Linked DNA regions of Astyanax mexicanus. The protein of the gene in region 2 purifies or fractionates together with the protein of the main gene of each other region. This does not show direct contact. Links are inferred from orthologs where the notes say so. Each region holds a gene or a part of one and is shown on either strand. Other genes may lie near its edges. The genes, in order: nudc and mitogen-activated protein kinase kinase kinase kinase 5-like.

Region 1 (16,690 bases), on a different chromosome or scaffold from region 2:
AAAATCCGGGATAAAAACACCAAAAATCCGGGGTGAATATGTCTCGTCAGTCAGAGCAAATTGAACATTTTTCAGTGGATTAAAGGGGCCGTGATTTGCTTTTTTTTATTTATTTTTTTTACCTCTTTTTTTAAAAACGAATATTCGAATATTCGCTTCGAATCAGTGCCGAATATCCGGAGCTCAAAAAACGCTATTCGGGCCAGCCCTACTGGTGATTTTAATGTTTGAATCATTAACATATTAAGTAAGCAATAATTAGCCTTTAAAAAGCACAGGCTAGTAAAATATAATACATTTACTAACAAATGTGTGTTAAAATACAATTTTTCAATACAAACTAACAATAAAAAAATATCAACTTGCACATGTTTTTTTTGTTTGTTTGTTTTTTTACACTGCATTGTTAATTATTTGATAGGGAATCGGTATCGGCAGATAATCAAAATCAAATGAATGGAACTAGGGGACAAAAAACAGTGATTGGAAAATCCCAAGCATTGGCTGATTCTCCAGAAGATCAGAAACAATACAGGTGTTGACATGCTATCATGCATAGATCTGATCTCATCTGGTCTAAATTTAGAATGACGGGTAAATAAAAGTGCAATTACAATATTAGGCCAAAGCTGATTCACTGGCCAGCTTTGTATTGTGCACCACTAGGTCATTCAAGAGAAATGAGCCTGGCAACAGTGTGCAAGTTCCAGTCCCGGTAACTCCAGGAGCCTGCACAGCCTGACACAGAGCTTATAAAATTACTTTATGGCTGTTGTTAAAAGAGCATAACCTGTCCTTGACCGGTAACAGTAGGAGTTACTGAGACACATCTTCCACACTTTCATTGATCTTTTCAAAATTTCACATGCTTTGCTATTGAAGCCATATATGGGACTGAGCCTTTAAAAAAAGAAAAAAAAAATCCTCAAACTCAGAACATCTAGAACATAACCTGCAACCAAGCTGAAGCAAGCATGAACTGCTTGCATTTTTGCACCAGAAGTGGCATAAAGTTATCCAAAAGCAGAGTGTAAGACTGGTGGAGGAAAACATGCCAAGGTGCATCAAAACTGTGATTAAAAACCAGGGTTATTCCACCAAATATTGATTTCTGAACTCTCAAAACTTTATGAATATGAAATTGTTTTCTTTGCATTATTTGAGGTCTGAAAGCTCTGCATCGTCTCATTTTCTGCAAATAAATGCTCTAAATGACAATATTTTAATTTGGAATTTGGGAGAAATGTTGTCTGTAGTTTATAGAATAATTACTCAAACACATAAATAGCAAAATCAGAGAATCTGATTCCAAAACTGAAGTGGTCTCCTAATTATTTCCAGAGCTTTATATATATATTTTTTCCTTGCAAAACTATGAAAATTGATAAACATAAAATATACTTTTCACTTTTAAATTTTTTTGGTTGCCATTTAAAAAAACATTTAAAAAAACAATTATTGCGGTTTGTTAGGAAAACTAGCATAAACAATATTTGCGCCGGCACTCAAAGCTTTTAACATGCACATCACATACACACAACATATAAATGGCAAAACAAGACTGTTTTAAATTGTGTAGTTTTAAAGCGTAATATTAACCAACATTATTCTGACAGATGAAACATATCGTTGTACCATACAGTCCTAAACGAAACCATAGCTTGCTTCCATGACCTCTAATAAATCGGTTAGGCCGTTTCTCCCTAGCCCACCCTGCTGCAGGTGCTGTATGATCTGGATTAACACCCATCCCTTTTAACAGGGACAGGAACATGAGGTTACTGCAGTCTCATCTTAAGAAATTCCTGATGCAATTCTCTTTGTTATTTCCTTGTTCCAGCTGCAACAATAATCAGCTGCAATCAGCAATGTCAACGTTTTCCTGGATAACTAATCTGGAATTAGTCTTGTTTCTGTTCGAATTTAACGAAGCTTGACTGTGTGACATGACGTACGGCTTCTGTGGAAAGTCTGTGTGAAGAAGTCAAGGTTAATGTCACTTACTTCTTCAGGATGTCCTGTTTCTTCTGCTCCTCAGAGGTGGGCAGGCCCATGGATTTCTGCCTCTGGTCATACATCATCTTCTCCACCATGCTGCGTGTCTCGCCATCCAGATCAGAGAGCTGGATGAAGAAAAAAGGGTCAGATCATATAATAATACTACATGCTGGCAATATTGTCAGGATTGTTAAGGCATTTTTACACTGCGTGCTATCTACATGCAGGGTACATACACTTTGTAACAGACTTTTCCATGCCTTCGTGGCACATTTTAATGACCATACGATCTTTAAAACATCAGTACAGACATGGCAAAAAAAAACTATAAATCCATGTCAAAATTATAAGTTATTATATAATAATCTCTCACCTAAAATTTTGAAACTTTGAAATATCACATTTTACAAGCTGAATAATATTTCTGCCTTACATATGTGTCTAAAATAAAGCCAGACAGCATTAAATCAGCATTTTTCTCTCACTGTGTGAATTTACGGTTATAGTTGAAGCTGAAAGTCCAGTCTAAATAGGACCCACATAGACAGCTAGTTAATGCAACGAGATGTGATGGATTTACCCAAACATTAAATTATTTTTTAAACCAAAACACTTTTTTTTTTATGATTTTTCCTAAACTTTTTGGGTATTTTTATTTTTCCAAAAAATATTCAGGCCTGAAATTCGCTTTTTCTAAACTCCATGACTTTTCCAGTTTTTCACAGACTCTGTATCTGACTTGCTTTTCAGCAAATGAGCTGAGCAAATTTGGTACCTGGTACCTAGAACTGAGTTCTTTAGTACCTGCTCACTCATGGTTCCACAAGAGTAGCTTAGGAACTGAAGCATGATATGTTAAGCTTGCAAAGTACTGATTGGCCAGTGAGAATACTCACACTATGTGGCGCCACAAACCAAGAATCTGCAACAAAATTATTTCAGAAGCTTCAATTGTTAATGTGTTTTCGTTCATAATACTGCAGTGAGGGCAAACGGTAAGCTATGATAGCGAAAAAAATAATCCAGATACAAGTTAAGTGAAGTCAAGGACTCTAGTGTAGGCACAGCACAGAGATTAAGATCTAATGTACAATAGCTTTAGAATAGGCTAATACCAACCAACATAATAAGTTAGAACTAAACTTTAAAAAAGGTTTAATATTCTCACACATTTAATTTTTTTATTTTGCCAAAAATCGCCTTAGAATCCGGTAAGTCTTGTGTATAAATTTTACCAGTCAGGTTATAAAGAGCAGTAAAGCCACACCGCTAAAGTACAGTGTTATACAGGAGTTTCAGTTCAGTTTACTGAAAGTGTACCTTATAGTGTGAAAAAGTATGGTTTAAAAAAATATATATATTTCTAAATTCTAATTTTTTACATTGCTACATGAAGCAAGTGAGCTTCCTTTAAGTCAAATAATGGCTAATCTTTATTTATGTCAGCTCTGTACATACCTTGGAGTTCTCTGGGCAGATTTTCTTGGTGTTGATTTCAGGATCTGTCGTCACCAACTTGTTCCACCACTCCATTTTATTTATCTAGTTTGAGAGTCAAACATATTATATTTGGTTATTATTATTAATTATGACCAACATATAACACTTTTGATGTTACTTATTTCTCTTCTCCTACCTTTTCCAGATGAACCGTCACTACTTTCCCATCCTCAATAAGCCAGGAGCTCTCCTCCACTTTCACCTCATTAAACAATGCAGCATCAATCACAGGTGGGTGGCCTTTTAAGCCCACCTTCAGAGAACGTCTCTGGACATCCACCACAACATCTTTACCCTTCAGCCGGAACTTCACATCAAAAGGCACTATCAACTGTGGATGAAATAAAAGATGCAAAATCTTGTTAACTAAGATACTGAAAAACTTGATATTGTACTGTTAATAAGAACAACCGTCAATGGTTTATGAGTATTTTTCTATGTAAAGATCTGGTGGATACACTTCAGCTATTTATTTATTTCAGACAAAAATAAATAATAGGTGATTAAATTTAAAGAAAGCATATCAATTTATTAAACAACCAGCCCCCTCCAAGAAAAGCATACGTATGCTAAACACCAACAAACTTTAACTCATCCATGCATGTTTACATAAATGGCCACAATCACAGAGCTTAAATAAGAATATAAAGCAACAACTGGATACAGTCATCATTTATCTCATTACAAATAAACTCATTAGTGTGGTCATATCTGTATTCGAAGAAACAAAAAGGCAAGCTTGACTAAAGCTCCACAAAATATACTCACATCCACTTCTGACAAGGACTGTGTCCATCTGTAGTTGGGCAGATCTGCTCCATTCCCAGAATTAGGTTTTACTTTGTTCTTATCCTTCTCATCTTCTTCTCCTTCAGATTCAGACTAAACGACACATCAGTAAAACTCAAGATTACCACACAAAACATTTGACAAGCTATATGTACAAGTATATATGTACAGCAGAACACTTTAGTGTTAAAAAAAAAGCATTATATACCCATATAAACCATTTAGTTTTACAGATTGCCAGTGTTTTGTTAGTGTTAGTGTTGTACACTGTAAAATGGCAATCCCATATGCCAGTACCGGTTACACTTACCGGTATGCTGTGACTGAAACATAAGTTATTTCATTTGCATGGAAATCTCACTATACTCTTGAAATTGAGTCAGGCAGAGACAGAGACAGTTCATCTGACTCTGAATACGGCAAATTGATCAAAATTCATCCTAGGTATGTCCACATCTTTCTTTTCCCATTATCATAAATGTGTATTCCTCACTCACCCCTTTTTCTGCTTTATCAGATGTATCGGCAGCACTGCTTTCAGTGTCTTTTTTCTCCTTTTGCTCTTCTTTGTCTTTCTTCTGCATAAATCATGCACAATAGAGAAATGCAAAAGATTTAAGGCACCAAGCCAAACCAATCAACTAATCAAACAAAACAATCAGGTTAATAAACGTACTGTAAACTTCTAGCTGTAAAAGAGAAAACTAGTGGACAGTCTTACCTGATCTATCTCTGTCTGCAGTCTCTCCGCTTCCTCATCCGTCAGTTCTTTAATTCTGGGTTCGTTCTCCAACTCTTTCTTTTTTCTCTCCTCTTCAGCTTTCAGCTTAGCAGCTCTTTCTGCTTTCTCTTTCTTCTCCTTCTCCTGTTTGGACTGTTTGTCCTTATGGGCCTGGAGCGCCAGCTGACTGTGATGGGCAAATGCCTCCTTTACCAACTAAGGAGTAAAGATTGAGTGAAGCACACTATATTACTAAACACAAACATAAAAAAAAGATTTGGAAGAAAACTAAAAAAAAAAAAAAAAAAAAAAGATAAGGGATTGTTTCTATTCAATGACATTAACTCACCCTCTCTGGAGCTCCAGATTCACCTCCAGTAAAAAAGTCTGTTTTTCGTCTGAGAAAGCTAAAGAATGTGTTCACCAACTGTAGAAAAAAAAGTGTTTATTTAGTTATTTCTTCTATTTGCCGTTTACACAGAAAGTCAGGGTACTGACAATATATCAGCATAATTAGTTAAGTGAGCCTTTGAGACAGAACAGGATGCACATAAAATGACTTGCTCGCTACCATTATCAACCAAACACATCCAGAACAATACAAAAATATGACCTAATCATTACTTTTCATAACTTTTTTTTTATAACCCTGATATCACAAATTCTGTTTACTTGCATTCTTGATTACAAGAGAATGAAGAAACATCGGCAATATTTCAGCCGGTAATGCAATAACCATTGCATTAATAAAAGTGCCTCCATACATAGAGGGAGGACTGCAACAAACAGAAAAGCGTTACTTAATGTAAATAGGTGATTAAAAAATATTTACAAACAGAAAAGCGTTACTTAATGTAAATAGGCAATTAATTTTTTTTTACAAATATGCTGCAATTTCAGTATTTACTGTCATTTCTGTAAAAATGATGATCTAATGCTCCCTGAACCTGAACTCTTTTACAATTCCAGCCCCACGAATCCTGACATTGTCATCTTGGAATATGCCCCTGCCATTAGGGAAGGAAAAAAAAACAGTGATGGATTAACCTGGTCATTCAGTATATTCAGGTAGTCAGCTGACCTCATTCTTTTATCACATACTGTTTCTAAACCTAGACCTGAAGAACTGCTGCAACTTTTTTTTTGTATATATATATATATATATATATATATATATATATATATATATATATATATATATATATATATATATTAGGATATACCTTCTCATTCAAATCGTTTTACTTCTTTATATTACTTTCTATTATATTTTAAATGTAATATTTAAGACATTAAAGCTACACAGGAACAAATGCAGAATTCCTTTGTAAACAAACCAGAATATGATTTATACTTTAATTCACACTGTGCTCAAGATGATTGTGGAGGACAAACACTTTTCTGTTTACTATGTAATTCCATGTGTGTTCCTTTACTGTTAAGGTCTTTAATATTAATTTATGACTGGTACTGTATGTGGGTGTAATATATAGTCCACAAATACAGTTATGGTGACAGGCCTATGTTAGCTGTAGCAGCAGACACTGATTGTTGATTATAGATCAAAACTGCTACTTATGAGAAGGTCTGTGACTAGATGCCCAGGGATTAAAGTTAAAAGCTGGCTAAAGTTAGCTAACCTAACTAGCTAGTTAAGCTTATAGTTTATTAGGATAAAAAAAAAGCTAAATAAGCTAGTTAGCTAACTACCTAGCTACACAGACACCGGTAACTTTACCCGTATAACGGCAACCACAGGAGCAGTGCTAGATTAGATTCTCAGAAACACAGCACGGATAGCTGCTGCTGCTGCTGTTCAATGAAATAATGAATAAAACCCTAACCAAATCCCTATCAACAGACAGGCGAGTAAATCAGGTCCATCACAGGCTAGCCGCTGTTAGCTAACCCAGCTAGCCGCCCTGCTGCTGCTGATGCTCTTGTTCTCGCAGCTCGCTTCACACGTTACCTCCTGCACTCCTCCTTCGTGCTGCTGCGCCATAACCAGCAGCATCCCGTCATACTTCTCCTCATCATCTCCCATTTCTAACAGCCCTGAGTCTCAGACTGCGCTCAGAAACAACGAACAGCGCGGAGCAGCGGACCAGCGGAGGCACGTTATTCACAGACAGGAAAACACGCAGCCGCTTCCTAGCTACAGGACCCGCCTCCAGGATTGACCAATCAAACCACCTCAGAGTTAACGGACAGGCGAGAGAGCCAATAAAATACTGGAACTAAAAAAACGTCACGACTCTCGCGCATATTAAAGATTTCCCCCGAGAGGAACCAGAGCCCGCGGAGAGAACTCTCTAGAAACGCCTGGAACATTTACTATCCGTGTAAATACAGACTTTACAGAGACAAAAAGAGTTTACTGCTCCTCACCAAACGCCCAGGACTGTTTAACTCACGAGCCGAGTCTCTTTTCGAATTGTGCTGGATTTATTTATAGGTAAATATGTAAAAAAAAAAAATGCCTGGCCCCTTGGGCTGGTCGATATGGCCCTAACATAACATCACGATATTTGATGGTATTTTTTGCAATAATGGTATTCATTGCGATAAGACAAAACATTTTTTTAATTTAGAATAAATATAAGCTGAGTGGCAGCTATAAGCCTTAATATACATTTTATACATTCAGTAGATACAAAAAAGTATAAACCTAGGTATATTTCCTATAGTAACTCAACAAGATTTATAGTACATAAAATAATAACAACAGTATAGCAGAAAAATGTAAAAAAAATAAACTAATTGAACAAAAATAAACTAATGTAACCAGGGTCGTGCACAGACATTTTGGGGGCCGAGTGCTCAGGGGGGAAAAAGGGCACTTTTTAGCGCACGTGGAACACTTCATAATAAAAAAAACGTTATCTATCATTGATTTGGGCTAGAGCGGCTAGTTTATCTGGTGACCAGTCGGCTAAAGATGCTTAGTAGTTTGGTGCTGTATGAGACATTTTACTGCACAACAAAATGATTTCACGTTGGTGTCTATGTCTGCACACTCTGAATGTAACTAAAAAAGTCTACCACAAACTAAAGTTTAGCACATATAGTGCATTCATGTAAACTGCAAACAGACAACATGCAGTGCAAGTAAAGGCGAAAAAATGTTTTCCTAGCTACAGGACCCGCCTCCAGGATTGACCAATCAAACCACCTCAGAGTTAACGGACAGGCGAGAGAGCCAATAAAATACTGGAACTAAAAAAACGTCACGACTCTCGCGCATATTAAAGATTTCCCCCGAGAGGAACCAGAGCCCGCGGAGAGAACTCTCTAGAAACGCCTGGAACATTTACTATCCGTGTAAATACAGACTTTACAGAGACAAAAAGAGTTTACTGCTCCTCACCAAACGCCCAGGACTGTTTAACTAAACTAAAGTTTAGCACATATAGTGCATTCATGTAAACTGCAAACAGACAACATGCAGTGCAAGTAAAGGCGAAAAAATGTTTTTAAATGGCAAAATCATCTCACAATTTTGTTCCCCTAAACCTTATTTTAAATTGACCTCTACAAGAAAAATCTACAGACTGAATATGGGTGTATCTGAATTTGTGATAAAGTAATTCATGCATTGCGATATTTCCTTCATTTTAATATCTTTTTTACAAGTAAAACATATTTGAAATATATTAATATTATAAATAGAGAAGTATCTGAACAGGTGGCATAAATAATTTTGATTGCATTGCAATACAAACAAATTGTGTCTGAATAACCAAAATTTTACTAAGACTAGCAGAACACTCCCCCAAACTATATTACAGTATAAAATATGCAGACAATAAATATTAGAAATATAATAATACAAAATATAATAAAAAAAAATCAGCAACATATAAGTATAAATATTGTATGATCTTTTATTAGATTATATAATGAACCAGAGTAAAATAAATAAATAAAAAATCATTGAAAGAAATGAAAACATTAAAAAAATATTTTTCTCTTTTTCTCTGGTGCATCATACAATATATACTGGGTTACCTTTTTTGCAGAGTTTTTATTTAGCATCTATAAAACATGTCTATCCATGAAACACATCTGTAGTTACAATGGGTTGAGTCAGACAAATGTGCTGTTGATATTTTTTGCATACAAATTTGTTAATTAGTAAGTGGCAGGCTAATCATGGAAACATGTCTGTAATTTCTGGAACTGCTTAAGCAATGCTTTAGCAATTTATGCCTTAGTCCACTTTCTCTGGATGCTCCACATTAGCACATTTTGGACTTTGTCCATTATTTGTATTGAATCTAATACATTTCTTCCTTATTGTGAAATTCACAACATATCTGGGTAGGCCTATTCTAACTAGTACTTGTCTTATTTGTTACACACATAAAAAAAATATAATTTATTTAGCTGGTTGTTATGAATCCAGGTCAGTTCATAAGCTGGCCATCCCATAGCTGCAATATACAGTAGGACCAAGCTGTCCTGTTTGGCATATTCATTAGAAAGGCTGTAAAAGGATGTTGCACAAATCAGTATCTTGACACGAGCAGTGATTAGTAAACTCTCCGTTCAGTCATTGACCGACAGTGCAGTTTTTCTGTGTCAGCCAGATAATGTATCTGTAGTAGCTCTATCATACAGATAGACCCATTACAAATGAGTACAGACCTTTCACCTAATGCACTTATTTACTTACTTTTGCTAAAACCTTGTGTTACCTGCAGATGCAGATACCAAACCAGTTTTAATATGTATTAAGGGTCCATATCAAAATATACTAAGTAAAGCAATCGAAACATAGTGTGAACGTTTTAAAACATCTTATTAATTTTTCTAGTCAATGAAAATTATAGCTGAAATATGGCAACTAACCTGTTTAGAATTTATATTTTTATGATGAAATTAAAACTGGTGCATGTAGGCACATACAGCTCCCTTTTCGGCTGCCAGTGTTTGAGCCAGGTCTTCTTTTTAAAAAAAGGCACAACAATTTGTAAGATCAGCAACAAAGGGACTTTATAGGAGAGAGAAAAAACCTTGTAAACTTTTAATGGAAGTCAGTGTAATAAGAGTTTATTTCAGGTCATTTTGAAGAGTTTCTATTGGTACGTTCATCAATAAATTTTGACAGTGTAAGGGACAGTTTGTCTGTTCAAATTATGTTGTAAACTAAAAATCCACAATAATGGAGATAAGTGTTTGTCATAGGACAGCGACAAAACTATTCGTTCAAAACTATTTAAGATGGTTGGCTAATTGTACACACTACTAACTGTGCAATTAACCACACCATGACTTGCATCTTCTAGCATGCTAGGCTACTGAATGTGGTGTATTATGTGCCACTTCAAGCATTATGTACTTGAAGTGCCACATAATAAGGCACACCAAGGTGGTACACCACCAAATAGCCTAATTGTTGTTTTTAATGTATCAAAAACAAAATATTATACATGCAATTGCATGTGGGCAGCAGGGGATGTCCCTGGGTCTTATGAATGTGCCTGGTTTCATATCTGACAACTGTCAGATATTGTCATTGTTGGATAAAACCATAATTTTCTCACATTTTTTCACACTACAAGGCGCACTTAAAATCCTTTAATTCTCCCAAAAATAATTAGTGTGCCTTTTAATCCGAGTATATCCAAGTATATCAGACTGTAGCCGGCTGCTAACGCTGGCTAGCACTACTGGAGCAGTAGTAGCATTAGCTGCTAACCGCGCTAAGTGCTAGCTCTTTCGACATTTAGCGGTGAGTATATCGGACTGTAGTCTCCATGTTTACCGTGTTAAAACAAGCTACATGCGATGAACCGCTAGCTAATATCAACCTGGCTTACCGGAACACTAAGAGTTCCTCAGTGTAGCCCTGTCGGCAGTATTTACTAGTGCTAACTGTGGTTAGAGCTAGTGGTTAGCTGCTAATGCTAAAGCTGCTGGCTGCTAAGCTTACTGTAAATAAACGCAACCGCTTTACTCACATTTTCAGGAGAGGAATCTGTGTAGATTACCATCCAGCACTCGTTTGGCTTTAATGCGCATTATAACCCAGTGCACCTTATAATGTGAAGATTTATTTCGCATTATTTCTATTAGAATTTGCAGTATACATTTCAGTAGCAATAATTCATTGTGTTTCACATTACAGGTGTGGCCATTCCCAAGCTGTCCCCTGATATAAAATTCATGATAAATTTATATAATGCTATTCCATGACTGTTGGCACACTAGATGCTTAAGCTTAATGGATCTTTGCCAAGATAAACTATAGTTGGAAAATTAAATGAAAATATTCTATCCTATATTTCTCTTTTACATAAAACCAAGATAGAACACTTCCTATCATTTAAGCATGAATGCTTGTAGCTAAACTGTTGTGGGCTAAAATGTTTGAATCTATTCTTTATCAATTATAACCCACCACATTTATTAAACAAAAAAAGGAAATGTATTTTTATGATCAGCGTGCCTTTAACTGCCATTAACCTCACGAAGCTGTCTTTTTTAGATATGATACAATACTCTCACAGCCCTTATCCAGTAGTGTGGATGATATTGGCTCAAAGCCCAAAGCCAATAAATCTTTTAGATAGTTGTCTCAGTCCTTGGTGTCTTGGTACAGGTAGAGTTAATGATGGGTAAACATGATAAATGTCATTTACCCCTTTCCCCCGCACACTTTTTCTGTCTGGATCAGCCACTGTGTAGGATCAGGCTGAATTAGCCTTATGGCCTCCACGTGGAGACGTTAGCCCACTCCGCGGTCCAGGGTCATGTTGTTTTGCTCGAGTCTGTGACCGCTCCCGCAGGTCGTAAAGGTCAAGGTTAACGATTCGTCACAGTCAGAGGCTGGCAGTATAAATAAGACTGTGTGTGGTAGTCCAGGAGTTGACATTCAGATGCTTGGATAAAGATCTGTCAGAGCAAACATCTCAGTCGACTTGTTTGTTAACATGACAATGTATTCACCTGAGGATCTAAAAAAAAGAGACTGCTGCTGCACTGAATGGGAGCACCATCCTCATACCATCCTCTATAACATTCTCAATCGAAAAGACAGCTATGGTCATCCAGACAACCAATGGGCCTGCTCCAGAATGCATTCCATCTGTCACTGCAAGCAGCAGAAGCTGGTATGCCTGAAGAACCCGAAGGTTACCTGCCAGGCAGTGTCTGCAGTTCTGCTGAAAACCGTCCACTTCATGAAAAGCCTTCCATCCTTTCACCAACTGCCCTCCAGAGATCAGCTGTCCCTGCTTCAAAACTGCTGGGTGCCGCTGTTTGTGCTAGGCCTCGCTCAAGAGCACGTAACGTTCGAGGTGACGGACATGCCAACGGCCAGCCTCCTCCGGAAGATCCTGCTGAACGACCAAAAGCAAGAACACAGAGACACAGACTACTCATCACCAACCCTAGCAACTGTCTATAACCTCAAATCGTGTTTAAACCAGTTCTGGAGTCTGGATCTCACTGCTAAAGAATATGCTTACCTCAAGGGAGCAGTATTATTCAACCCAGGTAATCATCTTAAAGTGATCTGTTTTCATGTATACAGTAGCAAATTTTACTTTACTGTGAAAGATAGGAGAGGAATGTTGCCACTGTTGCTTGTTTTCTCCGGGACTGGCAACTCTAGCAAAGCAGGCAAGACCATGCTTACAAGAGCTATGCTGCGTAAATCCTGTAATATTACTCTAACCCCTCAGCCCACATGCTTCTTTTGCATTTAGTAAGGTTTTTTGTATCTCTCAGCTTGTCCAGAAATGCATGTGTAAAGCATGTTCTTTCGAAGTGTCTCAAAATGCACTGCAGAGGGAGCTAAAGAGCAAGAACTAGCAGTTTTAACATAACACTGCTTAAATATTATAGAAATGTATTAAATCAGGCTAGCTGAAAATAAAATAGAACAAATCTGTAAATAAGGCATCCAGGAAGAATCTGAAACCAAGCTAACTAAAGGTTCTGCAAAATAGCTTACATGATCTGAAATAATTTATTAACAATGAGTTTAATTTTAAAATAAATAAAAAAATAAAATGCCACTATATCATTAAATACATAGTTATTGTTTTAAGTGAATGATTATTATGAAATTATTGTGATGAAATGTTTAGTATATTCAATGATTTTTTTTTGTAAATATTAAAAATTAGTTTAGCATGTTTAGTATCAGAAGTTTTGTATCTACACTTGTATAATAGTATAGACTAATGTGTAAGTTAAGATTAAATAGGTAAAATAGTGTGGAAATTAAGAATTATTGTGAAGGTTTGTGATCACGTCTTCTAAATTAATTTTAATTTAGCTACTTCATCAGATGCACTGATTGCTGACAGAAATAGCTTGCCTGGTCCCTGTAGAGAAGTATATTAAACTGCCAATAGAATAGGATTCTCTGAAGCAGATAACATGAACCAATTTGTTGTGAATGCAAAAACACAATAAAGCTATATTTAATATTTATTTATTTTTGTTTTTTTTACAGATATCTCTAATCTAATAAGCTACAAAGTGATACGGGGACTTCAGAAGGAGGCTCAGCAGGCACTGCATGAACTCATCCACACACTTCATCCAAATATTCCTGGACATTTCACGAACATTTTTCTTGCAGCCTCTGCTTTGCACACAGTAGCCCAGAGCTTTATTACTGAACTGTTCTTCAGGCCCATCATCGGCCAGACAGACATTAATGAGCTCCTGCTGGAGATACTCTTCAGCTAACAGCACTTTTTGACCTGTGGAATGAACTGACTGGGCATATCCTACTTAGAATTTTATTTGGATTTTTTTGACAGAAAAAAAGAGAAAAAGCAGTTTAAGTAAAGGAGTCCACTTTTTCCTTTAGTTTTTTAGGTAAGACATGTTATTTTTAGCATTTATTGGGCATCTGTTATATGACAATTGTCGTGTCTATGTCAACATTTTTATATCTGTTATCACTATTATATATCTCATATTCATCTTTAAGAAACTGAACTGCACATCATCAGCTATCAGTGTCAGATAAGCACAGCATCACAGCCGATATCAAATACACATCATTTTTTCAGTTTTTAGCATTTTTAGCATTAAAGTAAGTAAAAAACAGTACAGTAACAGCCAACATTTGCACTACATGATAATTTCACCAAATACACTGTATGTTACATTACCAGAATTACCATTTGTAGATACAGGGTTTTGGTTTGACATCATCTGTGTACTTAGGTCTACTTTATATTTTTGTAAATAATTATATTACAGCCATAGCATTATTATCACCTGCCTAGTATTGAGTAGATTCTCTTGTGCCACCATAACAGATCTGGGGTGAGTTTCTCAAACGCACTCTCTCTCCATATTAAGATGATCTTAATGCTAAGATGCTTATAGAAAGCTGGGCCCTGGTCATTTGAGGCATGGACTTCACAAAACAAAGCATCCTGTGGTGTTTTAAGTTGTGAAGTAGGGACTCCATGGATTATATAATGCATGGTGTCTTTTAGGTGCATTTAAAGCATCAATAAACCATTTCACACCAAACCACTTTAGATCACTTTATTTATATCTAGCTATATTAAGTATGCGAGTATTTGGGGAGTTCCAACTTAAGAACAACTGCATATTTAAGTTTACTGTTATCACATTCTGGTTTATGAAGGCAAGCAATCTGGTTTTATTGTAACAGAGCCTTTTTTTTGTTCCATTTTTTCTAAGAAAGATTTCCAGTGTAATATTTTTTTCATCGTGATTAACAATCTTTTTTAATCTGTCTTTCACCGAATATTCATTTTGAAGAGATAACCCTGTTTAAAAAATTAAATATTTGCTGCCCTCTTGTGTTCTATTTCTGTAATGTCCTGCAACTACAAGTGAAGAACCCACACTGAGGTCGTGATATTATACTAATGTTACCTGGCTGGCTCCTCTAACAGGTATTATTCATTCTCATTGGCAATTGTAATAAAGATAGCAATATAAATATACTATTCCTTTTGTGTCCACAGCATAGTTCTTTAAATTCCAAACAAACACTGTGCAACAATACATTTTCTAATAATTCAACGCTGATGTGGGCAATTTGCTATGTGTGCAGCGCTGCCTGGTTAAGTTAAATAACATCCTTTATATTGTTTGTTTTTGTAATTAAAGTTTTTATTACTCACTTCCTTCATACACTTTACAACAGACACAGGGCAAATCAACAGATACATTTTAAGAAAATTACATTCAGGAATCACGGGCATAAGTATATTTGTCAGCATATCCATAGAGTCAGATGTGACAAGGAACTAAAATATAATAATAAATCAAATAAGTCAGGAAGAGATTTGGCAGAAGAAGGGGTGTGGTCTGCTTGTTTTACACTTGTAGTTTTATTTGCTGCCACAGGTTTTGCCAGGCCTTGTAATGTGAGATTACACTTTTATGCTTTTAATATTGTTTTTTAATAATTTAGACATTTTAATGATTCACGTAGGAATTTTTTTATAAAAATATCAAGCTACCTAAAGAGGCACTGAAACCTAAACCATATTTGTTTCATTAATAGCTGAAATGTGTTTCTTTGAAGTAACCCTCTCAGGTTCAACTGTGCTATAGGCAAGGATGATGTGTCCGTGTACTTTGGTATGCAGACAAATCACAATATGCAAATCAGTCTATCAATAATACTGCCCCCCCCCCCCCCTCCCCAAAGGTGACATCCAACCATCTGCACCTCACCACTATCAGTGGTACACTGCTCAGTCCAATCAGTTCTTACTTCTGCCCCGCCCCTAAACCCATACATCACCCAGTGACCCACCCTAACTACCCCTCCCAATTTTTTTTAGCATTTTTCACATTTAATCTGAGGGTGGAGTCAGCTAAAATCAGGGGATTTAGTTACCCTTTAAACATGCCTGAGAATTCCCAGTCCACCCTGTCATCTTGGGGTAACTATACCCCTTTAAGAAAGTAACCTTTGACACCAATGACATCAAAACCTTCAGACTTCAGTTTTCTTTTCAAGGGACTAAAACACATGCTGAATTTGTCCATTACACGTGCCTGCAAGTATAAATATACTGTGAATAAGACAAGAAAAAAATATGTGTGGGATCATGAATATGATTCATACAAAATGGAAAAATTACAAATCCAAGTTTTTTTTTTACTTTTTGAGGGCCAAAAGGCACAGTATTTTGATACTGACCCAAAGAAACAGTAATTTCATAATACAGAGCCGAGAAACTGTTCATTTCTCTCACCACCAAACTAAAACAGTCACCAAATTCACAGAGAAGACAAATAAAACATGAGAACAATTGCAGTTCAATAGAAACAACAAATAAAGTCTTTATAATACAGCATAACTGCCACAAACATAACCAACATCTAGATATTATGTCAACATCTGAGTCCCTAATGCTGTAGTCCTAAATAGATGTAAAAAATCCCCCAAAAATCTGATCTATCTGTTTTCCTCCCAAACAACAAATCATTTTAGGGAAAGGTTGTTAACTGCCTCTCACTTTACTGCGTATTCAAGATTAGCCTATAAAAGCTGGCATTTCCCATGAATAAAACTCGTCCAACCTGTTGCGCTGTTTACTTTTACCACGCTTGGAGCCACTGCTCAGTCAACAGTGCAGGCTATTTGCTTTCCTAACGATTTAGGCCATGTTTTCCATTTTTAATGTTGCTTTCTGCTGTTGGAGCTGCTGAAACGTGCAG
Region 2 (17,206 bases):
TGTCCTAACAAACAAACAAAAATAAAGCTGCTGGGAACTTGGTCTTTGGTTCACCCATTCCTGGGACATGTGACGCCTTTAAACACACAAACACTAACATCAAGTAAATTACACCCATAAAATATCTTACTCTCTATCACTAACATCAGATGAAAATCACCTGAACAAATGCCTCTTGAAAAAAACATAGATGGGAGAAGAGAATCAACCATAACATTAATGACATCAATGAGCTCCCTGAAGCGCCCCAAAGTCCCATGCAGCTCAGACAGCAGCAACACAATAAAAAAACACATGAAAAAATTATGTGTGTAAAAATAACCCAGCATTAGTGTTCTAGGATTAAATCTATGAAAACAATTAAAGACTGATTTGTGCTTCTGCATCGAGTCAATACATAGCCTACAGCGTAGCCTGTACGAGCGCTTTACGCGGCGGAACTTGTTTATATTCTGTGTGCGTGGGTTGGCCTCTTTGCGTCGGCCTGCAGTTTAAACCATGAAGGCAGGAAGTAGTGGGCGGGAACACAGGGCTCGGCAGGCCAATCACAGCTGCTGCTGTCTGTGTCGCATTGTTTTTTTCTGGGGAGGTGCACATCGGGCTATGTCATATGGTATGGCATAGAGTACAGCATAGGAGTATAAATTGGCCTTTAGGCACACATAACAGCAAAAAGTGTTAGTCCTCCATCTGACCAATCCCCTGATCTAAACCTGATCAACTGAGATAATGGTTTGGGATGAGCTGGAGCTTCACAGCGTGAAGGAAAAGCAGCAACTATTGTTCAGCACCTCCAGGAACTCCTTCCCTTAAAATGCTGAGAAAACTATTCCAGGTGCTCTCCCTCATAAAGACACTGAGATTAAAATACCAAGTGTGTGCAGATCTGTCCTCAAAGCTACATTCTTAAATGTGCTACTTAGAAGAGTCTAAAGTATAAAACATATTCTGGTTTGTTTAACACATTTTGTTTGCAGAATATTTCTGCATGTGTTCATGTATAGCTTTAATATAGTCTTCAATATTAAATGTACAATGTAAAAAATCGTAAAAAGAAAGAACACACTAAATGAGACGAGGTATGTCCAAACTTGTACAGACTTGTAGAGTATTTAAAGTGAGAACAACTTCCTTTCCTTTCACCCAGTTCAAGTCTGACAACTCTTTCTTTTTACAAACTCATCCTGCAGTTCTACTCCTTCCTATGGGATGCAAATCGTAACATTCACAAGTTAATTATCAAATCAGGTTGTGTGGGAGTCTAACACTATCCGTTTTACTGCGTATCTTTAATCTCTCAGTATCAGTCTCTATCTCTCTCTCTCTCTCTCTCTCTCTCTCTCTCTCTCTCGGAAGGAAAAGGTCCCACATCCCCTCATTTGCATGGTGCACACTGCTTTAGAACAAAGAACACAAGAAAAGAGAAGAAAGCTGATGGTGTACGACACCAAGCGAGTCCTTTTTTCCTAGACTTTTTCTTACACAAACGCAATAATAAACTTTGTATCGTTTTGTCTCAGAGGTATTTCCTTGTCTGGACTCCCCCTTGTTGTATCTGAGCATGAAGAAGGCACAGCTGCTCTAAAGAGGAAGAAGGAAATGCATTAATGCTGTAGAGCAGTGAAGGCTGAAAATGGAATTCACTATTAGTATGATTTTAGTCTCGTAGTGTAGAGAGAGGCAGATGAAAGATGCTTTAATCTGACGTTGAAAACAGAGGAAATCACTTTTTCTTCCTGTTGACTTCAAGGCCCCGGTCGTCGCCTCCACCTCAGGAGTTTTGCATCTGGTGTTTTATGAAATAGGAATTGACCATAAACCACCATTTGGGTTCTTCTGTCTTAAATGAAGAGGAACTTCATGTGTAGGATGGTCATAGCGGTTTGTCAGCTGGCATTTGACATTTTGAATGCCGCCTTGTGCTTCTTTAAAAGGGGCTTAATGTTTAGTTTGTTTAATGTTGATTAAATAGGGTAAATAACAGTAACAGAGTTACAGTCAGTCTTGTATCAAGGGAGCCTCTTTTGATGCAGGTGGGGTGAGTTTGGTTTTGGTTTTCCTTTTCCTGCCTGTCGGCCATCCCCGTTCAGTCTGTTTCAGGCGTGGTGTGTTTGACGCATTAACACACACACACACACACACACACACACACACAGCATGAAACTACACACACACCAGCAGAGGTGTCAAGTAATAAAGTATGAATAGTTAATTACCTTACTTAAGTAGAAATGTTGTTTATCTATACTTTACTGGAGTATTTATTTTTCAGATTCTAATCTTTACGTTTTCACACAATTATCTGTACTTTTTAAAAATAGCCTCATTAATCCTATTTAATTTCAGCTTGTTTTTATTCCGGCTTCTTATCGTTCAATAAAAAAAACCCTTTTCAGATAAATCTCTATGCAGATATCAGAGTGAATCTGATTGTGGTTGGATGTAGAGAAGTGTAAAAATATTTAATTCCGACTCCCTATTGGTTTACCACCACACCTGCACATCATGTTACGCCCCCCCAACCCCACACTCCAGCAAGAACATAGCAGACGTATGTATCCGTGTACTCTGTGGTGCGGCCTCAGCTTTTGAACCCTTAAGTTACTTTATTTTTATTATACTTTAAGTAGTTTTGAAACCAGTACTTTTACACTTTTACTTAAAGAGTAAAAGATTGAGTTGATACTTCAACTTCTACAGAAGTATTTTTTTAAACCCTAGTATCTTTACTTCTACCTACAGAGTAATGAATGTGAAAGCTCTTCACACCTTTGCTCACTGTATGTGCTGATCTTAAAGTAAGCACATACGTGCAAAGTTTTTCTCTTTCACAAACAGAAACACACAGAAGCACGCATTCTACAGAGTCTACAGAGTAGTCTGACTAAGTGGCATTTACAGTATCAGTCAAAAGTTTCGACGCTCCATCTCATTTCGTGTTTTTCTTTATTTAAATATTTTTCTACATTGTAGATTTATATTAAGGACATTAAAACAATTAAAGGACACGTGGAATTATGTAGTAAGCATTTAAAAAAGTGTTTATCCTCCACAATCCTCTGATCTGGTGATCTGGGATGGGCTGGAGCTTCACAGCGTGAAGGAAAAGCAGCAACTATTGTTCAGCACCTCATGAAGACACTGAGATTAAAATACCAAGAGTGTGCAGATCTGTCATCAAAGATAAATGTGCTACTTAGAAGAATCTAAAGTATAAAACAGATTCTGGTTTGTTTAACACTTTTTTGATTACAGAATAATTCACCATGTGCTCCTGTATAGCTTTAATACAGTATTAAATTTACACTGAAAAAAATCTAAAAACTAAGTAAACACATTGAATGAGAAGAGGTATATCCAAAGTTTTTACTGGTAATGTTAATGTGTGTTTGTGTGGCAACAGAAAAAAATAGACGGTGAATATGGTGTAGGGTACACATAGGGTATGCATAGGCTAAGGTATAGATGTAGCACAGAAGCATACGTTTAGACTGTGGTTTAGGGTATGCACCTGCTATAGGGTACTATGGTGTACATTTTTTTTTATGATTTTTTTCCCATTTTCTCCTAATTTGCTTATCCAATTATCCCACCCCTTTGTGCGTCCCCATCACCAGTGGCACCTGCGACTCTAGGTCGACCCTAGAAGGATGAGGACGAGCACACACCTCCTCCGACACATTTGAAGTCAGTCACCCCTTTTTTCGAGCTGCTGCCGATGCATCATTGCCTGAGCAGCTAGCAAGCTCGGAGGAAAGCACATCGACTAGGTTCCGATACATCCGCTCACAGACGCCTCGTGCCGCCGGGCACCAACTTCTAGCGTGATGGGGAGAGAGCGCCATCTACCCACCCGGAGGGAGCAAGGCCAATTGTGCTCCCTCTGGGTGCCGAAAGCTAATGGCAGAGCTACATGAACAGGATTTGAACCTGTGACCTCCCGTTCATAGAGGCAGTGCATTAGACCACTGGACCACTTGGTGCCCCCTAAGGTATAGATTTAACACAAAGGATTAAATTGTCCTTAAAAATTAGGCTATGGTGTAAGATATACAGCTATACAAAGGCTGTGCATAAGCTACTGCATAGATTTGAAGCAGAATCAACAATCATCCTTAAGGCGTAGGCTATGGTGTGGGGTACAAAGCTGTTCATACGGTATGCATAGGCTAAGGCGCAGATTCAATTCAGAAGCAAACATTTGCCTAAAGGCATAGGTTACATGTAGGCTAAGATTTAACTTAGATTTAACTCAGAAGCATAAATTGGCTTTAAGGCGTTGCTATGGTGGAGGGTACACAGATATATATAGGATACGTGGAGGCTAAGGCTTAGATTTAACTCATGAATTGAATGAATTGGCTTCAGATCATATACTGTGGTTAAGCATATGTGGCTACGAATAGGCTAAGGCTTAGAGTCAAATTAACTAATAAATTAGCATTAAGACGTAAGCTATGGTTTAGGATAAATGACTACACACAGGGTATGCATAGGATAAGGCATGTATTTAACACAGAAGTATAAATTTAGCTTTAAGGCATAGGCACACATATACATAGGCTATGTGGAGGCTAAGGCTTTGATTGAACTCAGAAGCCTAAATTGGCTTTAAGGCATGTACTGTGGTTAAGCATATGCGGCTATACAATGGCTATGCATAAGCTAAGGCTTAGATTGAATGCAGGAGCCTAAATTAGCATAAGATATGGTTTAGTATAGATAGATGAATACACACCGGGTATGCATAGGTTAAGGCATCGATTTAACACAGAAGCATAAATTGGCTTTAAGACGTAGGCTATGGTGTAGGGTACACAAATATCCACATGCTACATGTAGGCTAAGGCTTTGATTGAAGTCATATACTATATAATCTGATTTAGGGTACATGGCTACACATGGAGTATGCATAGGCTTAGGCACAGATTCATTTCAGAAGCAGAAAAAAGTCCTTTAAGACAAAGGCTATGGTGTAGGGTACATATATATGATTGAACTCAGAAGCATAAATTGGCTTTAAGGCATATACTGTGGTTAAGCATGCATGGCTATACATACTATGATTTAGGATAGATGACTACACACAGGCTATGCATAGGCTAAAGCTTTGATTTAAGCTAATAAATTAGCCTTAAGACATAAGATATGGGTTAGGAAAGATTACACACAGGGTATGTATAGGCTAAGGTATAGATTTCACACAGAAGCATATATTGGGTGTAAGGTGTATACTATGATTTATGGTACATGGCTACTCATAGAGTATGCAAAGGCTAAGGTACAGATTTAAATTAGAAGCAAAAATTACCTTTAAGGCGTAGGCTATTGTATATGGTACACGGCTATACATAGGATATGCGTAGGCTAGGTTGTAGATTTAACTCAGAAAAGAAAATCGGAATTACAGTGTACACTAGGGTAAACTGTATATTATGAATTCTTCTGTACTACAATTTATTCATTATCTACTCTGAATTATTCAGTGTTCTCAATAAAGCGTCCAGTACGTACTATGACGTATTTAGTACATATCTGTATATTCCAAAACAGCAACTTTTCAAGAGAGAGTTAAAAACCTACCCCAATCTTAGTCAACCTCAATTCCTTAGTTTAAAAAAAGTTTATTTCAGGTAATTTTGGAGAATTTATAATAGTCCTTTCCTTAAGATATTTTGACACAGTGTAAGCGACAGTTTGTGTGTTCAAATTATCTATATATTTCACTGGAGAGCAAAAACAAACTGTAAATTATTTTTGAGTATGAAGTTTAAGTACCTCCTACAGTTTGTTCAGTATATTAAAATTTAAGGGGTTAAGATGTATTGATGGAATTCACCACTGAACCCACAGACTTATATCATTCGGACTAAAAACCCACCAGAGATCCGGAAGAGCCCTGTGAGAGTAAACGCTGTCATTAAAAGAGCGTCACACTTAAAATGATTAATGAACGATGAGCAGGCTAGATCAGATCTTCTCCTTTCTCAGGAAGAAAAACATCTTTCACAGAGATGAAGAAGAAGAAAAGCAAACCACTGAAACAGAGCTGAGCTCTTCTAATGAACGGCTAGAAAACCCCACAACACATTCTGCAACAGCAGCAGCACACATTTCTACACTGTAGAACTTAATAATTCACATCAGATACTAAATCATTTAGAGTAAATTCTGAATTGTTTGTAGTGGTTACTGAACAAATCATGATATGTATTTTTAGTATGTTTGTCATTTATAGTAGACGCTTAATAATTTTAAACGGTAAAGGAATACTTCATAGTAGAGACTGAAAAAGTCATTGTCGATGGTGAATAATTCAAAATAATTTTAGAAGTGATAATAGATACACAATACATTATAGTAGATACTTCATTATTTATAGTAGGTACTAAATAATTTATTGTAGATCATGAGTTCATAGTAGTTATTAAATAGTTCATAGGTTACTGAGTAAATCATAGTGGTTTCTGAAAAGTTTATAGTAGTTACAGAATAATTCGTAGTGGTTATCAAATAATTCATAGTGGTTACTAAAAAGTTTATAGTAGTTAATGAATAATTCATAGTGGTAACTGATAAGTTTAAAGTAGATAATGATTAATTCATATTGGTTACTTAATAATTCATATGGGCTCATTTGTAGTAGATACTGAATAATTCATAGTGGGTAAAGATTAATTAGTAGTAGTTACTAAATAATTCATTGTGCTTACTGAGGGGTTTATAGTGGTTCCAGAATAATTCATAGGAGATAGTGAATAATACAAATAACTGAATAAGTCATTGTAGTTACTAAATAATACAGCATATACTTGACATTTAAAATAGTGGTCATATTAATTTATTAAAAACAAATATGTCAATTTCAAAAGCTACCTTAACATTCCTAGTTTCAGAGCAGGTGTTGAAAACTGCATCATAATTCCTTTATCTAAAGTCTTAAGCTTGCTCTTAAACATTGGTACATATGTATTTTTTATTTTTAATCTTGAAATGATTCATCATTCTAAGAATGTTAACTTTAACAATCAGAAAACAAATGTTTTACAAAACAAACCAAACAATGTTAGCTATGCAGTTGCATTCAGATCTATATAATAGTAATAAAGCTGCCGTTTATTAGCTGGCGGTTATTAAAATAAATTGGAAATGGATTGAGGAAGAAAAGGCCGTATGAAGTGGCCTAACTGTGACCTCTGACCTTGTAGACTTCTCCATATGTCCCTCCTCCGACCCGCAGCAGGATCTCGAAATCATCCTGAGGGTTCCTAGTGGAGATGTCCAGAACGTCCATCGAGCCAGCAGACACACTTACTCTCCTGCATGTGTGTGTGTGTAAGTGTAAGAGAGTGTGTGTGAGAGAGTGTGTATGTGTGTGTGTGAGAGTGTGTGTGAGAATGTTCCCTCGTACAGCTGCAGAGAGAGAAGGTTTCAGTGCTGTTCGTACTCTCTCTCACTAAACTGAGCAGTGTGAACTCCTTCCTCCTTAGGCTCTGTCCCTCCCTCACCCTCCCGCTCTCTCTCTCTCTCTCACACACACTGACACACACACTCACACTTACACTCACACACACTGAGGGACTTTGTGGTTCATTTAAATTAAGATTGGTTTTATTTCCTTTTTTGTGTGTGTGTGTGTGTGTGTGTGTGTGTGTGTGTGTGTGTGTGTGTGTGTGTGTGTGTAATAGTTGGAAACAGATGATACTGTGTGTGTTTGTGTGGTCGGTGGTATGAAGGTGTGAATGTGTTTTGTGAATAGTGTGTGTGTTTGTGTGTGTATGTTGTCATACTTTTTCAGACCAAAAACTCTCTGGAACAATTAATTATGAATGATTCAGTCGTTGCTATAATTTATTTGGAATCTACTGTGAATTAATAAGTGGATCCTGTGTCTTTGTGTCTTTGCTATCGTAACGTCAGGAAAAGTATGACTTGTGCGGTTTGAAACACACATGGCACGAAAGGCATGTACTAATTGTTCATTAATAATCGTGAGTGTGTTTTAGGCATAATGTGAAATAAACCAATCAGTGTGTCACTTGTCATTCCCTTTAAGAGCCAGGTGCGCTCTGACTGTGAATTGCTATTTTAAAGGCGCAGCTACCTGGACGTGTCTAACATTCTCACTTTGATTCTGTTTATTGCTGATGCAAAAGTTAAGTTTGTGCACTGCTGTGTTAATGTGTGTGTAACAAGTTAAGGTGTATGTGCAGTGCAAATGTGTTGTCAAGATAGCAATGAACATCTGTTGACTGTTGATGTCTGTCTACTTTGTATTCAGTCATTGGCGTACCTGTGTTTTCTGTTGCCAAGATAGCAATACACCAGAAATTTACCTGAACACACCTCATTTCAAGACCACCACGCCCATCAGTGTAGATATATTCACAAGCACAATTGCTACTTAAATTTAGTAGAGAGTGAAAATAGACTGTTGGCGGGGTGTAAGATAGCAATGAGCATCACAATGCACCTTGCGCAGGGTGTAAGATAGGGCCCAGTATCTCCTATAAATGTTTCAGTACAATTTATGGGGTTAATTCACTACTAAACCCATAGACTTACATTACCCAGACTAAAAACCCTCCATTGATCCGGAAGAAGCTATGAGAGTAAATGCTGTCGTTAAAAGAGCGTAACATTTAAAATGATTTATGAGCAAAGATCAGACTAGATCAGATCATCTCCTTTCTCAAGAAGAAAACATATTTTACAGATATTTTACAGTATTGAGCTGTGGAGCAGATGAACTGTGTTCTATGGAATTATACTGGTGCTTTGATAAAAGGTCATCCAATATCCTGACCTCACTGACTCTCTGGTCAATGAATGCAATCAAATCCTCTCAGCCATTCTACTCCAAAATCTAGTAAAAAGACTTTTCAGCACAGTAGATACAGTTACTCCCACAAAAGCAGAATAAAACAACAAGAAACCATTAATCAGGATGTATCCCAACACTTTTGTCTCTCTGTGTTATATATCTGTATATGAAGTATTGGATTATACATGTACTTTTGATCTAATCATGTGGCACAGTGTAAAAAAACAACTGTGTGTGTGCATGTGTGTGTGTGGTGTGTGTGCAGTGTGCTCTGCAAAGGTTCAGCTTCCTGTAGTGTGGCGAGAGCACTGAACTGAAACCAGAAAAACTGCTTCCACTGGGGCCTTATCTCAACTCACACTCACACTCACACTCACACTGATCCCGCACCAGCTACACACACTTCTGTCCAGCCAGGGTCACCTTACTGCATCAGTGTGTAATATAAATATATAAATATATAAATAACTGTGTTAGACTGAACTGATGCTCAGGATAAATAAACCCCTAATAGCCAACAGATTCAGACTCCAAAAACAATTTATACATTTTGACTTTGTGCTGCCATCTGTTGGCCAAGGGAGAGAGAATTACATGTCGTTCCATCATATTTATATATGTACAGGAACCGGTCAAAAGTTTGGACACACTTCTCATTCAGTGTTTTTATTTTTATTCTTTACTACATTGCAAATCAATACTGAAGTCATTCAGACTATGAAGGAACACATAAGGAATCATGTAGTACATTTAAAGTGTTAAACAAACAAACAATTCTCCTTTCTTGGAGCAGTCCTGATGAGAGCCAGTTTCATCATAACGTTTTTGATGGTCTTTACTTTGACATTTCTTGCAATTTTTCAGATTGACTGACCTTCGTTTCTTACAGTTTTTTCCTTTCCTTAGTTTTTTTTAGAGTATTTCTTGCCATTATATGGATTAGAGCATTGCTCAAATAGGGCTATTCTCTGTATACCAACTCTACCTCTTCACTACTTTAAAACTGATGCTCTCAAACACTTTAAGAGACAATTCAAGTAGTTAACTCTTGATGAGTTCAGCACAGCTGTTAACTGAAAGCCTGAATTCCAGGTGACTCTACCTCATAAAGCTGACTGAGAAAAGAGGTGAGGCTTTGGAGAATCTAAAATATAAAACATGTTCTGGTTTATTTTAAACACTTTTGTATACTAAATAATTAAATTTATTTTTCTTCAGAGTTTGGATGAATTAATTATTAATCTACAGTGCAGAACATGGTACTGTATAACTGTAGAAGTTTATTATCAGTACTGCAGCAGCACCAGTAGAGGGCACTAATGCACTGTCACAGTCTCCACCACCTCCAGGTGTTCAGACAGGAAATATTTTGACATCAAATGCAAATAAACATATCCTAAAAACAACCTTTTACATACAGAGCAGCTTAGATATTATATGTTTATTCAGATCCTCTGTTCTTTCTGTATGATTTAAACTCAAATTAAAAAAATCACCCTTTATTTCCAATTTCTACTATTTATATAGTCGCTGTCCAATGAAAAACAAGTATCTCCAAAACAGCAACTTTACAGGAGACAGAAAAATCCTTCTAAACTTTCAACTGAAGGCAATGTAAAATTACTTTATTTCAGGTCATTTTAAAGTATTTCTATTGGTCCGTTCATAAAGAAATTTGGGCACAGTGTAAGGGACAGTTGCTCCGTTCAAATAATGTAGTAAAATTAAAATCGACAAAAATTTCCATTGGACAGCATACGCGTCTACTTTCTACAAGGGAACAGAAACAGCCTCTGCTATATACATATTATTTCTATAATTAGGTCTAAAATCTTGGTTAAGTTAAATATTGGTCATTAATATGTTTTTTTTTTCTTTATAAATCATTGGTTGTTCAGACCAGCAATTTCAGTTAATCTATATCATATATCAGATAAACACAGTGATATTTGAGAAGTGAAATGAAGTTCATAGAATTTACAGAAAGTGTGCAGTAATTCTTTAACCTATTAACATGCCTTGACCTGTATACAGGCTACAGGTGTAGGTGATACAAAACCTTTTTTTCTGCAGTAAAATAACTTATTTACGTTCTGAATAATCTCCTACAGGACACTTGGAGAAGCTGCCTGTTTTCTCTCTACTCCACTTATTAATTCCAGATCAGAAACAGCAATCAACCAAATTCTGCAGGTTTAAAAATAGACGTAAAAACTAGACAAAAGACCTAATTTTTTTTATTTTATTCATTACATTTTGACATCAGCTGATTTACTTCAATATATTTCTATACTTTCTTTTATAATTACACTCATAATTTTCAGTAATGTTCCTTATCAAACATGAAACCTTTTTATGTAATGGTTAAATAGAAATCCTCAAGATTTCGTGGTGTAATGTCAGGCAGAAAATTCACAAGAATCCTGGCCTGTTACACTTTTGTGCAATGACAGTGAGTCCAGGTTGTTTAATGCACAAAAAAAAAAACAGAAAAAAGATTTATTATAAAAACAAATAATGAAAAAAATAATTAAAAAGTGTAGTTCAGAGCATGCACAGTACCTTTAGGAAGCACGTATCGATGGGTAGCATAACTCGACGGAACACCACTCTTCAAAGAAGTTGCAAAGAGGAGAAAAACTTGCAATTGTTCACTTTAACCTTTCTCATAATTGCATTCACCTGTGAATGTAGGTCAAGGGCGAATGAGACAGATTTTGTGTTTCAATAATTAGTGCTAAAGGTATTAAAATCATTAAAACAACTAACAAATAAGGGTTCACAATTTTATGCACATGCCTAATTTTGTTTAAATAATTATTGCACACTTTCTGTAAATCCTATAAACTTCATTTTACTTCTCAAATATCAATGTGTTTTTCTGCTATATGATATATTTAACTGAAATTCCTGAACCAAACAACCAACGATTTATAAAGGAAAATCTTGAAAGTGATCATGGGTGCCTACTGTAAAGGTGACTTTTGGAATGTCAGTGAAAAAGTTTTGCACAAGAAACATTCACATTTCAAAAGGGTTTATATTTTATTTTCTTAATATTGTTTATTAATGTCTTATGAAGACTTTACAAGACTTTACATACATTTACTTACCTTGCAAACACACAGCATTAAGAGTATAAGTGTGAAATGTATTGAAATGAGAGAGTTGTGTGCTACAGGGTGTTATTAGCTGTGGTGTAAGACTTTATATCCTTCCACACTACTACTACCACCACTACTACACTATCCTATTACTGTAATGTTACACACTCTTACAGCTTTACACACACTCTACAGCTTTTACTATCAACACTCTAACAGATATAGGATTACATTTAACATGTACAAAAATATTAAACATACAAAGTTTGTTAAAACTCACATACAATTGAAAAGTAATGTATTTTATTGATATTATCAGTTTTCAGCTATCCCATATTTACATTGTATTTCACAAAATAAATGAAAAGTGTTTTTTTGGGGTTTTTTTTTTTTTGCATTAATAAACTGAAATTGTTAAAAAAAAACATGCTTGATCCAAAGTTTGACTTTTTACTTGTGTATACTGTTGTGTCTATGTTTGTAATTGTTTATATATAAATGAATACAGAAGATTAAAGCAAATTTAATGCATTTGGTGCATTTGATACAATAATAAACAGAATAACACTTAGCCCTTCAAACAAATAACCATATATCAACCATCAAATCAGTTATTGTCTTTACTATTGTATATTATTTAAAGTGTCTTCAAGAATGACATATCTAGTCTAATCAAATCACATTTAATATTACATTTAATTTACTATAGGGTTGTTTTTGTTATTGTTGGAAGTGCTCAATTAAAAATGTATTTAATTATATTTGAGTCAAATTTGTCAAAATGCCATGGCATATGTAATAATAACACATGTATGTGTGTATGGCACAATGACTGTACATGATTATAAACACATACAAAGACAGAAAAAAATAATGGCATTACAAAAAAAATAGAAAATAAATGTGCTAGATTTGTGTTTTAGTTAAAAAAAACAGTATAAAAAGTCATGCATGTTGATGTGTATATGGAACAATTATTTTACATGTTTACAAAACAGAATTGTAGATGTATAATGCCAATTACAATATATTAAATACATGTAATCAAAGAACTATAGCAGTTATGTGCAAATTTGCAGTGTATTTAAAAAAAATTATCGAAACCTTTCGTATAATTTGGACTATTAGCTGTAGCCGATCATTCAGAAGTGTAACACAATGTATTGTATCATGTATTTTTGAAATGATTCAGGTATTGTAATCAATGCATTTGATGTATATTCTAATTGACAAAAATAAATCTGTTTTTTGGATAGTGTTGTCTGTGTACATGAATTTGTTGCAGTTTGTTTGTTTGTGAGTGTCTTAATAAACTTATTTAAACCTTGCAGTTCTCTGGATTCAGTGCTGTGTTTTTATTCATGCCCTGGTTCAGCTGCCCAGACCTGCAACAAAAACAAACAATACAGTGTGATTTTATCTTCTTATACTGTGTTTATTTCTGTTATATACATGAACTCTGCATTTAAGAAACGCACTGATGTAACATAAGAAAGAAATAATAAAGTAAAAATAAAAAATAACTAGGAAAATAAAGAAAATACATTTATACTTTATACTGTTCATTTTTCAGTAATTGTTATTGCCATTTATATCAATAATCTAAAGAAGTTCAGAATAATGATATTGGGGACCATTATAGCTTAAACTTCCGTTTACTTAGTACTTAACAATCTACAGTTATTATATTATGTTATAGAATAAATCTGTTTTTTAGTCCTTCAAAAATATTTTTTATTATCCCATCACACATTCTCTATATGCATATTGTGGACAATCCATTATGATACATTATGTCCAAATAAAAACTTTAATGTTTACTTTCTCTTAGACATAACTAACTCTTCAACTAATTAATTCTTAAAGACCTAATAATAAAGCAATATGTTACAAGCTTTCAACATTACAGTGTTATAGCATTAAAGTATTACAAAGACAATGGGGTAACAGTGTTACAGTGTTGTATGTTTGCAGGGTAACAGGTGGGCAGGGCTACAGTGTGCATGTGTACAGTGTTACATGGCTAAAGAGTAAATGGTGTTACCCTTTTAACATTACAGTGTTACATGTTTGCAGGGTAACAGGTGTGCATGGATTCTGGGTTACAGTGTTACAGTGAGACATGGTCAAAGGGTTGCAGGGATTCAGGGTTAAAATGTTGCATGCTTTCAACATCACAGTGTTACGTGGTTGCAGGGTAACATCTGTCCAAGTGTACAGTGTTACATGTTTGCAGGGAAATGGATGTGCAGGGTTACAGTATTACATCGTTGAAGAGTAACAGCTGTTACCCTATCAACATTGCAGTGTTACAGCAATATTATGAAATTACAAGTATTATAAAGATATTAAAGGGGTTATAGTGTTACAGTGTTACATGTTTGCAGGGGTACAGCGTCACATGTTTGCTGGCGTACAGTATTACAGTGTTACATGTTTGCAGGGGTACTGTGTTAAAGTGTTACAAGTTTGAAGGGGTACATTGTTACAGTGTTACATGTTTGCAGGGGAACGGTGTCACAGTGTTACATGTTTGAAGGGGTACAGTGTTACAGTGTTTCATGTTTGCAGGGGTACAGTGTTACATGTTTGCAGGGGTACAGTGTTACATGTTTGCAGTGTTACAGTGTAACATGTTTGCAGTGTTACAGTGTAACATGTTTGCAGGAACTGTGTTACATGTTTGCAGTGTAAACAAGTGTAACATGTTTGCAGGGGTATAGGGTTACAGTGTTACATGTTTGCAGTGTTACAGTGTAACATGTTTGCAGTGTTACAGTGTAACATGTTTGCAGGGGTACAGTGTTACATGTTTGCAGTGTAACAGTGTAAAATATTTGCAGGGGTACAGTGTTACAGTGTTACATGTTTGCAGTGTAAACAAGTGTAACATGTTTGCAGGGGTACAGTGTTACATTGTTTCATGTTTGCAGGGGTACAGTGTTACAGTGTCACATGTCTGCAGAGGTACAGTGTTACAGTGTAACATGTTTGCAGGGGTACAGTGTTACAGTGTAACATGTTTGCAGGGGTACAGTGTTACATTGTTACATGTTTGCAGGGGTACATTGTTACAGTGTTACATGTTTGCAGGGGTACAGTGTTACATTGTTACATGGTAGCAGGGGTACAGTGTTACATGGTTGCAGGTTATCATGTGTGCAGGGGTATAGTGTTATAGTGTTTGAGCCACTAAGCCGGTCTAGAACTTGCCATTTGATAGAAATGAACCCTTGAACAAACTTTTTTTCTCTTTTTATTTCGTTCTCTATTCTGCTCTCTCTCTCTCTTTCTCTGTATGTATGTGTCAGGCAGTGCTGGGACGGAGTTTGGGCCTCCACTGCCTTGGAGAACTGGACTGCCAATGTGTGTGTGTGTGTGTGTGTGTGTGTGTGTGTGTGCGTCTCTAAGGAGGTCCAGGCAGCATCACTGCTGACACACTGTTGCTGCTAAAGCCAGATTAGTGTGTCTAAAACAGGCTGGAGAAATCTGCCACCCGGCCCCTAATACACAACCCTCTGTCACCCCCAATAACTCATACACACATAATCCCCCACGTCGTGACCCAACACACACTCACACACACATGCATAGACTACCCCATGCAATATATACTTACACACATATTCACATTTACACGTACACAATGTGCCTGTACATTTATTATGACACACACACACTATGCATTGTAGTGTACTTTCTGCGGGCGGATCTGACGTGCACAGGCATACACACACACTCTACACTAACTATACACATACACACACTCTACACTAACTATACACATACTCACACTCTACACTAACTATACACATACACAAACTCTACATCAACTATACACATACACACACTCTACACCAACTATACACATACACACACTCTACACTAACTCTACACATACACAAACAGGTGCAGGTGCAGGTGTGATGCATCACAGTATAAACCAATAGGGTGTCAGAATGGTATATGTTTATACTTCTCTACATCCAATCACAATCAGTTTCAGATTCATTCAGATTCATCTGGATGGAGAGATTTATCTGAATAGGGGTTTAATTGAACGAAGGGAAGCCGGAATGAAAACGAGCTGAAATTAAATAGGAGTAACGAGGCTGTTTTTTTTAAATGTAAGGAGCAGAAAGTTCAGATAATTGTGTGAAAATGTAAAGGGTAAAAGCTGAACAATAACTACTCCAGTAAAGTATAGATGAACAACAATTCTGCTTAGGTAACAGTATAAATTAAAGTATATAGTATTTGTACTTAGTTACTTGACACCTCTGCACATACACTACAACATATCCACACAAAACACAAACTCTATACCAGGGGTCGGAAATTAAGTTTGGCCGCGGGCCAGATATTTTCCAAGCCACGTGGCGGGCCACAAAAAAAAAATCTGTTTTGGAAAATGAAGTGTAATGGGATGGAGTTCTACAGACTAGTAGCTTTTCAGCACAGAGGGTTGTTGAACCATATTGCAGTACAGTTGAATTCAAAGCATGTAAAACCCAAGAAGAAAGAAAAAAATAAATAAATAAACACACTGCTGCTCATACAGGATCGAACCCATGTCTTCAGGGTCGCGGTCCAATACACTACCACTGCCCCGGGTAGTGAATTGGGACATGGCCGGGAAAAAAAACACCCTTATAAGGAGATAGGGAGCCCAAGAATGGGTGAAAAAACAAGAAAAATAGGACGGAAACTAAAGTCACACTGAGCGTGACAGAGAGGCAGTGGAAGAATGTAAACAAAAGCTCACCAGAGAAGCATATTATTTTTTCTTTTTTTCATTATCAAACAACCTCACGGGCCAGATGCTTCATGCTTGCGGGCCTATTGTCGATCCCTGCTCTATACACAAATATTGTCATGTTTACAGATCATAGCTGACAGGATTGATGCAAAGATAACAACACTTTTTTAGCTCTATTCGGATGGAAATAATTGCAGACAAAACCCAACTCTGAAACTGAATGTAGAGTTGGTTGCACTATTTAGGGTTTAAATAATCATTGACATACCAGGGCAACAAAATACACCTGGCAGTCACATGTAAATTTGGAGGTGATGGCAGTGAATAAATGGAGTAGCCGCTCCCATCTCTTTCATTTATACTGAGATTTCATATGCTGTGCACCTACACCAATCATCCTTCCTAACAAACAATTTAACGCTCAAAGTTTTAAAGGAAAAATATAATATAAAGAACCCCTCTCCAGCTGTTAAGCATGGGGGTGGGCGGATCATGCTTCAGGCTTGTATTGTAGCCAGT

The links.
Region 1: the proteins of mitogen-activated protein kinase kinase kinase kinase 5-like (region 2) and nudc purify together in Homo sapiens (affinity purification with mass spectrometry; 3 studies listed by BioGRID and IntAct, with this or other methods). This does not show direct contact. The link is inferred for Astyanax mexicanus from reciprocal best matches to the Homo sapiens genes MAP4K1 and NUDC.

The regions. Positions count from the first base shown.
Region 1 is NC_064410.1:21,450,287-21,466,976, forward strand, and holds the start of nudc (nuclear migration protein nudC), read right to left. Parts: upstream 7,169-16,690; 5' UTR 7,053-7,168; coding exon 6,978-7,052; intron 5,436-6,977; coding exon 5,358-5,435; intron 5,225-5,357; coding exon 5,009-5,224; intron 4,866-5,008; coding exon 4,785-4,865; intron 4,381-4,784; coding exon 4,267-4,380; intron 3,830-4,266; coding exon 3,635-3,829; intron 3,541-3,634; coding exon 3,457-3,540; intron 2,124-3,456; coding exon 2,005-2,123; intron 1-2,004. Other genes in the region: nr0b2b (nuclear receptor subfamily 0, group B, member 2b), read left to right, coding at 11,944-12,508, 13,476-13,714. UniProt on the Homo sapiens protein: Plays a role in neurogenesis and neuronal migration. Necessary for correct formation of mitotic spindles and chromosome separation during mitosis. Necessary for cytokinesis and cell proliferation.
Region 2 is NC_064425.1:7,411,815-7,429,020, forward strand, and holds the start of mitogen-activated protein kinase kinase kinase kinase 5-like, read right to left. Parts: upstream 7,471-17,206; 5' UTR 7,295-7,470; coding exon 7,202-7,294; intron 1-7,201. UniProt on the Homo sapiens protein: Serine/threonine-protein kinase, which plays a role in the response to environmental stress. Appears to act upstream of the JUN N-terminal pathway.